2 linked regions of the Mus musculus genome follow. The protein of the gene in region 1 purifies or fractionates together with the protein of each later gene. This does not show direct contact. Links are inferred from orthologs where the notes say so. Each region holds a gene or a part of one and is shown on either strand. Other genes may lie near its edges.

The links.
Region 2: the proteins of Cul9 (region 1) and Apex2 purify together in Homo sapiens (affinity purification with mass spectrometry; 3 studies listed by BioGRID and IntAct, counting the BioPlex papers as one, with this or other methods). This does not show direct contact. The link is inferred for Mus musculus from reciprocal best matches to the Homo sapiens genes CUL9 and APEX2.

What each region holds. Positions count from the first base shown.
Region 1 is NC_000083.6:46,504,689-46,508,498, reverse strand, and holds part of Cul9 (cullin-9), read left to right. Parts: coding exon 1-232; intron 233-3,810. UniProt on the Homo sapiens protein: Core component of a Cul9-RING ubiquitin-protein ligase complex composed of CUL9 and RBX1. The CUL9-RBX1 complex mediates ubiquitination and subsequent degradation of BIRC5 and is required to maintain microtubule dynamics and genome integrity.
Region 2 is NC_000086.7:150,585,139-150,589,563, reverse strand, and holds the start of Apex2 (DNA-(apurinic or apyrimidinic site) endonuclease 2), read left to right. Parts: upstream 1-1,408; 5' UTR 1,409-1,487; coding exon 1,488-1,641; coding exon of another isoform or gene 1,642-1,671; intron 1,672-2,077; exon of another isoform or gene 2,078-2,119; intron 2,120-2,437; coding exon 2,438-2,521; intron 2,522-3,518; coding exon 3,519-3,699; intron 3,700-4,216; coding exon 4,217-4,363; intron 4,364-4,425. UniProt on the Homo sapiens protein: Functions as a weak apurinic/apyrimidinic (AP) endodeoxyribonuclease in the DNA base excision repair (BER) pathway of DNA lesions induced by oxidative and alkylating agents.

The sequences.
Region 1 (3,810 bases):
GAACTTGGAGCCAGATGTAGCTCAGCACCTTCTGGCTCATTCCCACTGGGGCACAGAGCAGCTGCTGCAGAGCTACAGCGATGACCCAGAACCACTGCTCCTTGCGGCAGGGCTGCGAGTACCCCAGGCCCAGGTGGTCCCCACTCGCCCTGACCAATGCCCTGTGTGCGTCACCCCCTTAGGACCCCATGACGACTCGCCCTCCCTCTGCTGCCTGCACTGCTGCTGTAAGGTGAGCGTGCAGCCTCTCCTTCCCCAGCCTTTCCACCTGGCTACGCACCTTGCAAACACTATTTCCTAACCTGGGTGAGTAGGGTTCTCTTTTCCTCCCTCCTGAGGGGAGAGCCTAGCACCTCAGCCACTGCGCTGAACCCCAAACCCAGGTATGTCTCTCAATATCCCTTCAACTAAGCTAGTTTGCCCTCTGTAACTGGGGCCACCTGCCACACTCCTCACAGAGACAGACAGACAGACAGACAGACAGACAAGGAGGAAATGCCATTAGTGTTACTCATAATCCATGGTTTCCTTAAGTTCACTCATCTCAGGACACAAATCTTTTGTCATGAATTATCATTCAATACACAAACAAATAGAAATATATAGGCCTGGAAAGGGGAGTAAGGACCCAAAGAGAGGAGAGGGCAGAGGTTCCGGGACCCAGAGTGCAAATTCCTTGCCTCCCAGATCTGCAGGCCCCAGGCCAAGCTAACACAGCGCCTGAGCAGCAGGAAGCTAACATAGTACATAGCATGAGGAACACTGCCTGTTGCCACAAACTCTTCCACCTGTGTCTCCCAGGGGTGGGTGATGTGTGGCTCTGTGCCCGCCCCCCCCCCATCTCTGCTCCTAGACACTTCTGATTTAGTTGCTTGGACTCCCTTCTCCCCACAGTTTTAGGTTTTTCTTTTATATATTCATTTAATTATAACAGGCAGGGACTTAGTATGTGTAGTGGGTAGACCCTGTTTGAGGGGGCGAGATCTGAGAGCTGCTAACAATGGCAGCTCACTCTTCAGGGGCACGAGGGCCAGTATCATGCTGTCTGTTTTCATTTCCTAGTTACTCTAATGGTTTGAAGAGTAGCGGCCTTTACTGTCCCCCTTTAAAAGGGTTGTTTATTTATTGAAACCTTGGCATGTAAGCACTTTGCTTGAAGAGGGTATCAGATGTTTCTGGAACTGGAGTTACAGATGGGCTCAAGCCACCATCTGGGAGCTGGGAACTGAACCTGGGTCCTCTGGAAGAATAGCAGTTGCTCTTAACCACTGAGCCATCTGTCCAGCCTTACTAGCTCTAGTGTACAGACGATAGATGGAGACACTCGTGGTGATACCATTTATCTGAGTCAAGATTTGAATTTTGGCAGCCTTACCCCAAACTTAACCTCTCTCCAAACTTTGGTGATAAATTCTGGAAGAAGTTACACTTGGGTGATGTCGTAGGAAGTGACTGCACAGGGAGTAGGGCTTCCCCTTTACATCGGGGCGATCAAGGGAGGACTGACTGCCAAGGGGTGACACCCCGTGAGGGAGTACTGTAGCAGTGGACTGTGGTGACTGAGGCTGTCTGCTAGGGGAGGGGGCCTCAGAGAAGGATGAGGAGGCTGAGGTGGATAATGATGTGTGGGAAACCACTGTGGGTTTCAAGCAAGGCGATACGATCTGATTTACACTAGTGAAAACTTAGATTGGGAGTTGGGAGATAGCTCAGTAGATAAAAGTGCTTACCATGCAGACATGAGCACCGGAGTTCAGATGTCAGAACCTACATAAAAGCCAGTGTAGATAAAGTGAGGGTAGGCATGGTGGCTGACTGTTATCAGGACTCCAGTGGCAGAGATGGGATCCCTGGGGCAGACCAGTCAGTATCCGTGAGCTCCAGGTTCAGTGAGAGCCACCAAAGAGGACAGCAGCTGTCAGCTTTGGGCTTCTCATGAACTGATGTGGAAGTCCCCAGAAGCTTTGGCTGGTGTGTGGAGAGACCCATCTGGAGGGTATTGTGTGAGGTTGAAGGTGTGGTTTGGACCAGTCTGTGGTAACCAGAAAAGTTACAGATAGAACCTATGAGACTTGTCGTGTTAGATGTCCAGGCTCCAGAGAAGAGAACCAAGGAAAGCCCCTCTGCTTCTGATCTGGGTAGCCCAGGGGATGGAACCGGGCACCTTTACTTTGTTTCAGAGGAACTTTGGGGCAAGGTATAGGGATGAAGGGTGGGGCTTTGCGAGGAAGCGCAATCAGTCACAGCCATGTGAAGTTTGAGCTGCTCGCTAGATATTTTATGACAAAGTCAACTAGCCCGTGGATTTGGAACTAAGTGGAGGGTCTGACTGACAACACTTCAGGAAAAGAGTGGAGCTGAGCTTAGGGGGCCCTCGTGTAGAGACACAGAGACAGGGGGCCTACAAAATGTAACTGATTTTAAAAGGTCCTAGCTGGAGGCAGAGGCAGGCAGATCTCTTGAGTTCAAAGCCAGCCTGGTCTCCAGACAGAGTTCCAGGATAGCCAGGACTATGCTGAGAAACCCTGTCTCAAACAAACAAACAAACAAACAAACAAACAAACATAAGACAAAATAACAAAGGTTCCAGGCTGCGAATAAGGCAGAAATGCTGGAGGCACAGGACAGCCCAAGGCCTGGAGCAGTGGAAGGCCGCCAGCATGAGCCTATTGGCAGGCAGTGTGGGCAAAGGGCAGATACTGGCTAGCACTGTTGCCCTAGGGCTGGGCAGTGGCTGTGGCAGAAGCCAAGAGGCCAGGGGCAGCCAGACTCAGATTCCAGGATTCTGTCATTCAGGGCTGTAGGGCATCCAAAGCTACTGCATGCCTGTGAGCTTGGGGTCTACATTTGGTAGACTCGCCCCTTGCTTCACCTAAAATAATGCAAAAACTGTTTTTAGTCTGCTTCCTATCTTGTCTTGATTTGTTTCAAGATGTAAAGGGTTTGGTCTGGTGAGAGACGGTCAGGTTCTTCACGTGGGCACTGTCAACTGGGGTCCCTGTGCTTTGATTGATCATTTTGGAGCTTGATCATAGTCTGAGGACCAAGGGTGCTTAGTGGAACAGTTTAAGAAACTCATGGACTTTGTTTGGAGAGCTGAAGGAGAAAGGGCCATTTATCAGGAGGCTGTTGTGTATTAGGGAGAAGACACAATGACCCGCTTTAGGGTGGGGTGGTAGGAACAACAGAAGAGTTTGGGAAATTCTGGTGCTGGGGACAAGGATGGGGTGGAGATGGCTGTGCGGTGGATGAGGACAGAGGGACACCACAGATTAGTCTCTTAGGGGAAGAGACTGAGTCTGTTAGAAGGAGAGCCCTTGGAGGTAGAGCCTCAGGCTGGGAAAGCTGGAGCCAGGGGGACTAGAGGAAATCAGCAGTGCTGGCACCAGCACGGGCACCAGCACGGGCACCAGCATCTAGGAGCCCAGAGTCCAGGGGGAAAGGCGATGTTTCCCCCAGGTTGCCTTCTCTCTCGCCTTTAAGAAAAAATTATTATCTTTAATTTGTGTGTATGAGTGTTTTGCCTGCATTGCATACATACCTGGCCCTGCAGAGGCCAGAAGAGGATCAGATCCCCAGAAGTGGAATTACAGTTGTGAGCTACCATGTGGGTGCTGGGATTGATCCTGGGTTCTTTAGAGGGGCAGCAGGTGCTCTTAGCCACTCGCAGGTCCATGCTCACCTCGCTGGTGCTGATCACACACCGCTGTGACAAATGCCTGAGAGGAATAGCTTAAGGGGGGAAAGATCTGTTTGGCTCATGGTTTAGGAGTGTTTAGTCTGCAGCTAGTTATCGCCATTGTTTCTAGG
Region 2 (4,425 bases), on another chromosome or scaffold:
TTGAATTACAGAGCTGTTTTTCTGATAGCAGTAACTAGTGACCTTTAAGTCCGATGGGGGTGGGGTGGGGGAGGGGCAGCCTACTGTGGCTCTGTATAGCCATGAAGACGATGGCTCAAAGGCTGTGAAATTCTGAGGGTGTGTGCATTCGAATGGGAATAACTTTGTAGCAATTTTCAGTGGAAAAAAAAAAAACCCTTAGGATGCAAAGTTATAGTTTTCCTGGAAATAGGGCGATTCCTGTTAATTCTGTTTCTGTGGTCACAAAAAAATAAGTCGAGAACTCATCCCTACTGCCCTGCTTATTCATCCATTTGCTAAATATTTATTCCGTTATCATATAAGGTGGGTCAGAGATGGCCACTGCATTCAGGCTGCTGGCAGTCTAGTGACAACGGAAATCAATGGGGGTTGTGCACTGTGGTAAATACTGTGCCATGGACCATAAAGTGCAGTGGTGCCCACAGGAAAAGACGTAAACACAGAGGTGTGTGGACAAAAAAAAAATCAATTGTTTACCTGATTAAGAAGGGTTTAAATCTTGGCTCTACCACTTCTGTGAGGCTGAGACGAATTTATTCAACTTCTACTTAGCTTCAGTGCCTCTTCCTGGATTATCCTAAGAATGAAAGGACACGGTATAGACAGGAAAACCATAACTGCATCGGGAAATGATACTATTCTGGAGCTTAAATGGTCTAGGCCTCGATTTTGCTCATCTGAGAAATGGAGCCAAATGCAAGTCTGTCTTATGCTTTGAGAGTCAAGACAAACATGGCTATACAGGGAGGATTTGAGGCAGTCTCCTTCCTCCAGACTCCATTAAAACGGAGGCTAGCTAGGTTCTTAATTGCTTAACGGAGAAAGTTCCCTTCGCCACTGCCCAAAAGGACTCCAGGGTCTGCAGAAGCCCCTCAGCCACCGCCAGGGGCCGCTCACTAAAGCCAGAGTCCTGTCTCGATCCGGGTAGGGCGTTGGCTCAGCTTGTTTCCCCAGAGGCCTGCCCCTTGACAAAGGGACAAAATCCCATTTGTCAGTAACCTGGCGCATCAGGGGGTACTTTTGTAGTAGAGAAGAGCAGTCAGATTCGGGCGTCCAGGCCAGCATGCGGCCAGAAGAGAAGGAGCCCAACCAGAGACGCGCCTCTCACCAGTTACTCTTCCCAGGTTTTGGTCTGGGTCTTGCTATGTAGCCCAGGCTGGCCTTGAATTCATTACTGACCCTGCCTCAGCTTCCTGAGTACTGGGGTGACAGGCTCGTTTGATCAAGCCCGGTTTTCCTACAGCCTCCACCTTAGTTCCGTCTCCCGCCTAAGAGAACTGAACTCGAAGTCCCGCCCTGCTTGCGTCCTGCCGTCGGAGGGGGCGGAGGGGAAGGTGAGAACGCCCGGTGGAAACGCGAGAGGAAGGCGGGGAGCCAGCTCACTTCCGGGCAGCAATGCATTTGCCCGCCTAAGCTTCCTTTGGGAAACTGTACCGTTTACCAAAATGCTGCGCGTGGTAAGCTGGAACATCAATGGGATCCGGAGTCCCCTGCAAGGCCTTGCATGCCAGGAACCCAGCAGCTGTCCCACGGCCTTGCGACGCGTTTTGGACGAGCTGGATGCTGATATTGTCTGTCTCCAGGAGACCAAAGTGACCAGTGAGCATTCGAGAATCCAAGATCTCTACGGTGTTTTCCTTTTGATGCTAACCTTTGTTCTGTCTCATTTCGCGTTTCGTTTTCCTATACTTAGAATCCTGCCCTTATACCCATCTGAAAGGCCTGATCCTTTTCTTTCTAAACAACCCCACCCCAGCTAGAACCCCTAATTCCGACTCCTGGCCTGCTTTCCCCGTTGAAACCCTCATACACAGATTCCCACTCATTCTATAGCCCGAACTCTGGGCCTTGAATTTTCTCCTTTCATTCTTCTAAGCCAAACACCTCAGTTTTCCATCCCTGCCCCCACCTCAGTCCTTAATCCCCACCTAATCTCTGCCTTTAGCTCAGACTCTTAATTTCTCCTTCCCATATCTCCAATTCCTCTTTTCTCTCCACCTCAAGGCCCTAGATTCATTCCTCTTTGATATCTTACCTCAAATTTAGACCTAATTTCTTCTCCCATAATTCCCAGCTCGAATTCCCTAATTCCCTCTCCTACCTCCCACCCTTCAGGTCCCCAATCTCCACTGCCAGCATCTGTGAGTACTTTAATCTAAATCACAAGACTTAGCTCTGATTTGCCCTCCTCTGCTTCCCTATCTAATTTGAATATAATTTTCTTTCCTGACTTTCCCATCTCTCTAGCTCCTGTCAACATAAACACTTCTCCTGACCCTCAATTACAGCTCTGATGTATGCTAACCTATAACTGTAATTCCAGTCTTTCATGGGTCCATGGTGCTAATTTACCTCTGACTTTATATTTACTTTTTTTTCTTTTTTTTTTTTTTAGGAGATGTACTGACAGAGCCCCTGGCTATTGTTGAGGGTTATAACTCCTATTTCAGCTTCAGCCGCAGCCGTAGTGGCTATTCTGGTAAATGAGGTCTTCTGGGGGTATTTATGTTAGCATTGGTGATGGAGAAAAGGAGTGTTTTGGTATTTAATAAGAAGGTAACATATTTTGACTTTTCATTTCCAAAGCAAATGCTGCTAATTTTAGGTCATATGAAACCTCATATTTATGCACCGAAGTTTCCTTTTGTCCCTCAGAAGTATAGTAATGTACTTCTTCTGAGTTAACTGTATAAGCACTGGACCTTAACTGCCAGGGTTCAAGTCCTGGCTCACATCCTCTCTGTGTTTTCTGACAAGTTACTTTACCTTTGTGTTTCAGGTTTTTCACTGAGAAAATAAGGATAATGGTTATTTTCTAGGCTCTCACAAGGGTTTAGACATAGTCTTGCATGAGGTAATAATGATAGCTAATTTTTCATCAGCATTTGCTATGTATGTGTAAAATACATTATTATTGTTCTTGTAAAATATAACATTATTCTGTGGCTTTTTTTTTTTGGTTTTGTTTTTTGTTTTCGAGACAGGAACTCACTTTGTAGACCAGGCTGGCCTCAAACTCAGAAATCCACCTGCTTCTGCCTCCCAAGTGCTGGGATTAAAGACGTGCGCCACCACTGCCCTATTCTGTGGCTTTTTAAGAGGAAACTGAGGCCTCAGATGCTTTAAGACGCTACAGAGCCATGTATGGCCCCTGAGTTAGGAGGATTGTCCTTACTTTTTTTTTTTTTTTTTTTGATTTTTCGAGACAGGGTTTCTCTGTATAGCCCTGGCTGTCCTGGAACTCACTTTGTAGACCAGTCTGGCCTCGAACTCAGAAATTCGCCTGCCTCTGCCTCCCAAGTGCTAGGATTAAAGGCGTGTGCCACCACGCCTGGCTGTCCTTACATTTTTGAAACAGTTAAATTTGACAAAGATAACCAAAGCTGTTCCTTATATGGATACACTTGGAGTGGGATAGGCTGTACAATGATATATTGGCTGCTGACCCCGTTCAGAATGCTCTTGTCCGTCCCCAGGTGTGGCTACCTTCTGTAAGGACAGTGCTACCCCAGTAGCTGCTGAAGAAGGCCTGAGTGGTGTGTTTGCCACCCTGAATGGAGATATTGGTTGCTATGGAAACATGGATGAGTTCACGCAAGAGGAACTCCGGGTTCTGGATAGTGAGGGCCGGGCCCTCCTTACACAGCACAAGATCCGGTAATAGTCCATATCCTCCTCTTACAGGCCATCACTGGTTCTAGTCCTTGTGTCTAGAATATAAGGCCCATTCTATAGGTATTCAGTTGCTATAAAAATGTTCCCAAACTTGCCTTCCTGTATTTTAGTCCAGGCTGGGCTGAGTGATCTTGGAAAATTCATGCTTCCTTCTGAGCCTTGTGTTCCCCTCTCTACAGAGGGAGACTGGCCTGAAAGAATAGCTTTTTAATTACCATGGGCTCCTCAAAAATAGCTTAGCCAGCACAGAACTCATCATCCTAAGTTGGTTTCTTTCTAGGTATCTTATAGTCATAAATGGCTGCATTATACCCAGTTTACCTGGGTATTATGCCCTCCTTGCCTTATCCAAAGTCCATCCCCCCAAGACTTGCTCATTTATTTCTCCTAACCGTTTTTTGTTCATCCCATGGATAACCATTAACTAGAATCTGCATGGTGGGTGGATATGAAGGGGAGACTTGAAACTGACCTCTTCTGTGGGGCTCTTTTCTCCCAGCACATTGGAAGGGAAGGAGAAGACTTTGACCCTGATCAATGTGTACTGCCCTCACGCGGATCCTGGGAAGCCTGAGCGGCTGACCTTCAAGATGCGCTTCTATCGCCTGCTCCAGATGCGAGCAGAAGCGCTCCTGGCAGCTGGCAGGTATATTGTCAATCTAGACAGCCAGGTTTGGTTGAACACATCTTGGTGGTTGGCCTGTGCCA